Linked DNA regions of Xenopus tropicalis. The protein of the gene in region 1 purifies or fractionates together with the protein of each later gene. This does not show direct contact. Links are inferred from orthologs where the notes say so. Each region holds a gene or a part of one and is shown on either strand. Other genes may lie near its edges. The genes, in order: adnp2 and cbx1.

What was found.
Region 2: the proteins of adnp2 (region 1) and cbx1 purify together in Homo sapiens (affinity purification with mass spectrometry; 5 studies listed by BioGRID and IntAct, with this or other methods). This does not show direct contact. The link is inferred for Xenopus tropicalis from reciprocal best matches to the Homo sapiens genes ADNP2 and CBX1.

The regions. Positions count from the first base shown.
Region 1 is NC_030682.2:96,896,186-96,899,474, reverse strand, and holds part of adnp2 (ADNP homeobox protein 2), read left to right. Parts: intron 1-2,508; coding exon 2,509-3,289. UniProt on the Homo sapiens protein: May be involved in transcriptional regulation. May play a role in neuronal function; perhaps involved in protection of brain tissues from oxidative stress. May be involved in erythroid differentiation.
Region 2 is NC_030686.2:11,721,687-11,726,092, forward strand, and holds the start of cbx1 (chromobox protein homolog 1), read right to left. Parts: upstream 3,043-4,406; 5' UTR 2,921-3,042; intron 901-2,920; 5' UTR 871-900; coding exon 731-870; intron 1-730. UniProt on the Homo sapiens protein: Component of heterochromatin. Recognizes and binds histone H3 tails methylated at 'Lys-9', leading to epigenetic repression. Interaction with lamin B receptor (LBR) can contribute to the association of the heterochromatin with the inner nuclear membrane.

The DNA.
Region 1 (3,289 bases):
CCTTGATGTCACTGATTTTTTAAATGAAGTACATTTGCCAGTCAGTATGAATAAATTATCAGGGGGTCATGGAAATCTTATCTCGGTGTGTTACATATACTGGACCAAGAGATGTTCTCAATGAGTGCTGCAGTGTAGCATGACTATCCTTTCTCTCACAAATACAAGTTACAATCAACATATACAGATACAGGGTCTACCATACATGGTTATATAGTTAAGTTGTTTTGACAAATTAATATCAACTCCTTCAAACCATCCCCACTGCACATAAATACACATACAGATCTATATAAACACACACATATATAATCTATATACCAATACATATATAATCTATATACCAATACATATATAATCTATATACCAATACATATATAATCTATATACCAATACATATATAATCTATATACCAATACATATATAATCTATATACCAATACATATATAATCTATATATCAATACATATTCTAAACTAACTAGATCTTTAGATTACAATAACCTTGGATATTATGCTTGTTGAAAAAGTCATTCAAGCCGCTCTAGGCATTTGTTTTAATAGATGATGTACTCTTTGTTGTATTAGAAGTCACCTCGGAGTTCCATGACATTTAATGGCCATGGAACACCTCAGTGAGTTATAATCCTTATGCTTTACTATAGGAGGTACATTATTCACTATATAAACTTTTCAGTGAATAATGGGGCTTGATACAATAATATTATATACTGCAGACCCAAAGTATATAAATCATAGAATTCAGTGAACACAGGGCACTCACAGATTATATATAATGTATCTTATAATTTCTCTATCCTGTAAACATCAGAAGGCTGTGGTCAGAAGATATCTTATAATAGTGTTTCTGAATTTCTTGGGGACCCAAATAAACTGCAAAATGTTTGCCACAAAATTAACTTTTGTAGAGAACGTGTTCACTTGTCGCCACTACTAATACTGCTGAATATAAACCACCCTTTTGATTGCATATAGTATAGCAAAATAAAAATAGGAGGAGAGGAGTAAAGGTGTTTTGTGCACTGCTAGATGGCATCATAAAAACACCTTGTGTGCCACTAGCCAAAGGGAATATTTGGCCACAGTGCTAATGGGTAGTTTGTCAGAATTTCCAAATGTCTTAAAATTTAGTTGTAGAAAACTAGTTTGAAGATGTCCATGCCCTGTGCACAGTATCTAATAAAGAAAAAAAACAAAAATAACGGGCAAGACAATTTGATATAAACGTACTTGCATTGAACTTTAATCATAACATATAGGCTTATCAAGTTTTGAGTTTGTGAATTTGAGTTTGTTTTCCTAATTTGAAAAAACTTGCATATCGAATGCTCACATTTATTAATAAGGAAAACTAGTTCAAATAAATTGGAATACCTAAAATTTTTTGAGTTTACAAACTTGAGTTTGAAAATATGTTTTGACTTTGTGTCAGCTCCCATTTCTGCAATTAATAAATACTAGACATTCGAGTTGATTTTTTGTAGTGCAAAAGAAAAAAAAACTTGAATCATGAAAAAAATTCAACTGGAACTGTAGCTTCACTGATACTGAACATTTGCATGCCTTGGCTGTCGATCCCTTGGTTTTCACTTATTTCAAATGTTTACTTCATCGTTCTTTATAAACGGTTTAGTTCCTCCATTTTTCACATTGTAAGCTGAAAGCATGTTAGGTGTTCATAAAAACCTTTCCGGCAAGTGTGGATGTGCACCTATGCAATAGCTTATGTATAACTACAATAGACTAGAATGTTGATTGAATCATTAGTATAGTGTAAGTATGTGTTCCAGGATAAAATGCTTAGGTGCTGATCGCCTTGTCCAGAAATAATATCCACATTAACAAAAAAAACACTAACTTTTCGAACCTGACAGTGCAACCTGGGGCAAACGCTTGCCCCTCCCTGATGACACTGAAAGGGGCTGAGCAGACATATAAATAAACAACAGACTTTCATCCAACTGCCAATAGCATTACATGGCCTGACCCTGCTGATTTGTGGCGTTGAGGTTGGTCTACGCAGCACTAATCCACATCTTTATTGGATATATTGATCTTTCTGTTGTACCATGCCAGGAAATATGTTGCTGATTTTATCAATATATATTTATAATTAATTTCGTTACACATTTAGGTTTACATTTTAGAATTAAAGGAAAAGTAACACAAAATTTTTTTAAGTAAAAAAAATCTATTCTACCCTGCCCCAATAATTGCCCTAAAAAAAGGGTTTATGAAAATGCCAGTGCTCAGATATCATAAGTTGCAACTTTAACCATTTAAGGCCCCCATAGAGTACATGAAACTGAGAACTCTACATCTATTTCCTATTAACTAATTCTGAATGTTGGTGTATTACACAGATTAGAGGGCATAATTTTACACATTATGAAAAAGGTATTCATAAACATACAGTTTCATATGGTATTATATAGAATTTATTAGAGAAACATTAGCTGTTCTAATTTGTTTTTTTTAATCTTTTATAGGATTATAGGTCAAAGACATTTTGCTGCAGTCTTTGTAGATTTTCAACCAAGTTGCTGTCTTCATTCAAGAGTCATCTAAAACGCTATCATGATGATGAAAAGGACCAGGAGCTTATGGCTGCTTGCCCCAGCTGCCCATTTACTTCACAGTCAAAAACTGTGGTAAAACACATGCGGATATTTCACTCCAGTACTAGGAAAACCCCTTCTAATAGCACAAGAGAGAATGTAAATTTGCCTAGAAATCATCTGACTGTCAAATTTTCTTGTACAAAATGTCAATATACAGACACTTTATATTACAGCATGAAAAAACATGTTCTTATGACCCATCATGAAGACTTAGTAGTTTCATATTTTGGAGAAAAAACAGATGAAGACATTGCAAATATAAGCTTGAATTCCACCATTTCATTTTTTAAGCTCCAGCCCGTTGATAAATTCTATTGCAAGATATGTAATTCAACTGCTAGCTCTAATGATGCACTGGTATACCATATTTTGACATCTGAAAAACACAGAGACCTGGAACAGAAGCTGAGGGCTGACATTTTGGAAACTAGTAAAGAAAGATCTAGAAAAATGCTAACAAAGCCGATGCAAACTGACTTTTTTCCTAAAAAACCTGTATTGGCACCAAGGTCAAATGCACCACTTGCAATTAATCACACCATTAAGTTAGCTTCTGTGCCACAAAATGGGCCTAGTCAAACAATGTCAACTTCTGTTACCCGTACACACAACGCTCTACCAACACTAGCTGCTGTTGCATCTCCTTCAG
Region 2 (4,406 bases), on another chromosome or scaffold:
CCCTGTGCAGGGAGCCCTCCATACACCCATCATAGAGGCATCCGTATGTAATACACATGTATAATATTGAGTCAGATGCTGAGCTGGTAACATATCTACACCCAATCAGAACCCCAGATCCTCTTTAACAGTACACTGTATGGCTGTGCTGCAAACATTGGCTGCCTGAGATAAGAAAGGTGGCAAAAGGCCCATTTGAATTCCACTCAGAACCTCTGATAAACACAGCAACTGAAGAACCAACCAGCAGCCACAGTATATAGATATCAGTTGGGATCAATAACGGGGAGCAAAAAAGTACAATGAGCAGACGCTGGTTAAAATCCCTCATATTCAGCTGTAAAAAAAAGTTATTAACCCATGAGTAAAGCCTTAGGCGTTTTGGGCTTCCCTCACACTCAATGGCAGGCTGAGTCACTTTTTAAGGCGAAATAAAAAACAAAAAAAATTAGCCAATCGGTGGATACAAGATTTCCTTGGGGGGGGGGGGGGGAGGAGTCTCAGTTTAACTTTTGATGTAAGTTGTCATAATGAACACTAATATTTGTGTTTACTTCCCCTTTTGTTTTTTTCCTGATCGGTTGGATATCAGGTTTCCAGATAAGAGACCCCATACCTGTAATATTTTACAGTAATACAGACGCGGCGTGCAGGTTTATGAACGCTCCCCTTACCGGTTCAATGTGCATTAGCAGCGCATAAGGACAAGAAACCATGGAGCAGCACTTACTCAGAGAAACCTTTCCATTTCAGGAGATACTCCACTTTCCCTTTCACCACCCGTCGGTCCAGGACCTTCTCCACCACGTACTCCTCCTCCTCCTCGTCGACAACCTCTTCCATCTTTTTCTTGTTCTGCTTCTTTCCCATGGAGGTCGCCAGTTTATCTGCTTAATGGAGCTGCATGGGAAGAAAGAGGAGAACTTGGTGACTTATAATATCCTTATGCTTTACATAAGGGGGTACATAATTCCCTATATGTGTATGTAGTTTGCATTACTGTGTGGGGTTACATGTTTGAATCCAGCCAGGGCACACATCCGCATGAAATATGTATGTTCTCCTTATATCTGCGTGGCTCTCCCACACTCCAAAACCATACAGGCAGGTTATTCGGCTTCTAATAAAAGCGACCCTAGTGCGTGTACCTTAGATTGTAAGCTCTACTGTCAGGGACTGATGGTAGTGATGAACCCCCAACACCCAGTCATAATTTTCAGCTGCCGGCAGGAAATAACAAAACCGAAATATACAAAATAAATAATAAAGGTCAAGCGAAAAGTTGTTCATAGGTCTATCTACAACACACTAAGAGTTCATGCAAACATCCCCTTTAATGGCCTGAGCCGATGTGTGAGAGATACGACACAGCTGCAGATGTCACAGACTGTCTCGGATTCACATAACTGATCCCTATTGCAGCGCCGAGACAGCGCAGATTAGACTGCAAGCTCTGGGAGACCCATAAAGGAGACGGTATAATGTAGCCTGGGACTACAGACAAGATTTTACTGAAGGCTCCGGCTTGACTCCTACAGCCCTGCTGTCCAGGCGGAGGGTCCCCAGGGCCAGATGTTTCCCTCCATGGGATTGTTATGGCCTCAGGATCTATTACAGCAGTGGTCCCCAACCTTTTTTGCACCACGGACCGGTTTCAAGCAAGACAATTTTTCCAAGGACCGGGGATGGGGGGGTGTGGCGCAACTAGTGCATACTATGCACGTTATTATTATTATTATTATTATTATTATTGCATACAGCTTAATAAAGTACTTTGGTCCTTGTCGTGATCAGTAGAAATCTTCCTGGGCTCCGCATAGCTATTGTCATGGCTGTGTAACGCATCAGGGAGTTGGGATCACGGGTAATTGGGACCAGAGGTGGCCCGGTTCAGCACAGCCCATGGACCGGTGGTTGGGGACCCCTGTATTACAGGGCTCCACAGACTATTCATTCAAAATAATCCAGACCCTAAACGTGCAATACATTTGGTAGCCATGCAGACACAGTGCACAGAATGAATAGGAGTAGCCTTGAGTGAAGCTGTGCCACGTGCCAGGCTGCCTGGCTTAGAGCTAACACTCCCCCCCCAGCCTGGCATTGCCCCCCCCCGCCTGGCTCTGTTACACACATGCTATATGCATTTCACCTCAGGAACTTGCTCCTTTGCCCCCATTCTGCAGCCTCTTCTATTTCTGCACTTTGCTACTGAGTGAGCGACTCCCCACACAATGTACAAAGCTAATTATGGCTCCCAAAGAATGAAAGCTCTGCAGCCAAATAATACCAGCTGTGTGGGAGTGTTTGCCCCTCACATTCCCCTGGCCGGAGGTTACATCACGTTGGCTACTGCAGCCCTGCGAGTGTGGGGCCCCACAGCCAACATTCCCTCTGCTTTTCTATGGGCCAGACGTGCAGAATTCAGGTTTTGTGGCCTGAGGTGCAATGTGCGCACACAGGGCCTTGGGTGCATCTGGGGGATAATATGCCAACCTTACCCCCTGGGGATAGGAGCCACCATGTGACTGGGCACTATGCATAAAGTTTGGGAAGAACATTGTACCAAGAGTGGGCCACTGACTACAACTCCCAGCATCCCCCACAAAACCCTGGGAAACAAAGCTACATCCATAGTGCAAACATGGACTTGTGAAATCCCTGTAACAAGTTATACCCTGTGCTGGGAATGCTGGGAAGTGTAGTTTTCAGAGCAGTTGGAATGCTACAGGTTGATGGAGGCAAATCACTAGTGAATTAAGTTGCAAGAACTTGTTTGTGTGCGAATAACAGAACGTTGCTGGCTGCATGTTACGCACTACAAATCCCAGCATGCTCAGCGGCCCGTTTCCCAGAGGAATGGGAGGGGGCAGTCCGGCAGTAGGGAGAGAAGGCGCACATGCGGGGATCAGGCCGCCCTTACCCGCCGCTTGCTTGGGCTCCCCGGTGCCTGGGGCCTGGGATCGGTCCGGCTGCGCGGCTGGAGCTCGCTTTCTTCTCGGCTATTGGAGCGGGTTCCGATCCCCTGAATGAACAGAACAAATTGATTCCTGTGCGTCCCGATCCGGTTCGGTTCTAAGGATGTGGCGCCTCCAAACAAAAGAAGCAGCGCTGCCGCCAAGGGATCGGGGGAGTGCGCATGCGCGGGGGGAGAGCCGCCTAGCATGGCGGGAAGTGTAGTTCTTTCCCTGGGAGCCATGTACGGGCCGAGTGGGCAGTGTTTAATGAGCTTATCTGTTGCTGGCTGTGTGGGGCCATGATAGTGGCTAGTAGGCGTGAAGGCTGCTGGCTGTGTGGGGCCATGTTAGTGGCTAGTAGGCGTGAAGGCTGCTGGCTGTGTGGGGCCATGTTAGTGGCTAGTAGGCGTGAAGGCTGCTGGCTGTGTGGGGCCATGTTAGTGGCTAGTAGGCGTGAAGGCTGCTGCCTGGTCCGGCACAGATTTAGCCCCTCAGTGTGGAGCCCGGGAATCACTTCACTGTTTTTATAGTCGCTGCACAGTTAAAGCTGGAATGGGAAGGGGTCGGTAGGTATGGCACTGGGGTGAGAGACTGGGGGGGTGGGCAGGTATGGCACTGGGGTGAGAGACTGGGGGGGTGGGCAGGTATGGCACTGGGGTGAGAGACTGGGGGGGTGGGCAGGTATGGCACTGGGGTGAGAGACTGGGGGGGTGGGCAGGTATGGCACTGGGGTGAGAGACTGGGGGGGTGGGTAGGTATGGCACTGGGGTGAGAGACTGGGGGGGTGGGCAGGTATGGCACTGGGGTGAGAGACTGGGGGGGTGGGCAGGTATGGCACTGGAGTGTGAGACTGGGGGGTGGGTAGGTATGGCACTGGAGTGTGAGACTGGGGGGGGTGGGTAGGTATGGCACTGGGGGTGAGAGACTGGGGGGGTGGGTAGGTATGGCACTGGGGTGAGAGACTGGGGGGGGTGGGTAGGTATGGCACTGGAGTGTGAGACTGGGGGGTGGGTAGGTATGGCACTGGAGTGTGAGACTGGGGGGTGGGTAGGTATGGCACTGGGGTGAGAGACTGGGGGGGGGGTAGGTATGGTACTGGGGTGAGAGACTGGGGGGGGTGGGTAGGTATGGCACTGGAGTGTGAGACTGGGGGGTGGGTAGGTATGGCACTGGAGTGTGAGACTGGGGGGTGGGCAGGTATGGCACTGGGGTGAGAGACTGGGGGGGGGGGTAGGTATGGTACTGGGGTGAGAGACTGGGGGGGTGGGCAGGTATGGCACTGGAGTGTGAGACTGGGGGGTGGGTAGGTATGGCACTGGAGTGTGAGACTGGGGGGGGTGGGTAGGTATGGCACTGGGGTGAGAGACTGGGGGGGTGGGTAGGTATGGCACTGGGGTGAGAGACTGGGGGGGGTGGGTAGGTATGGCACTGGAGTGTGAGACTGGGGGGTGG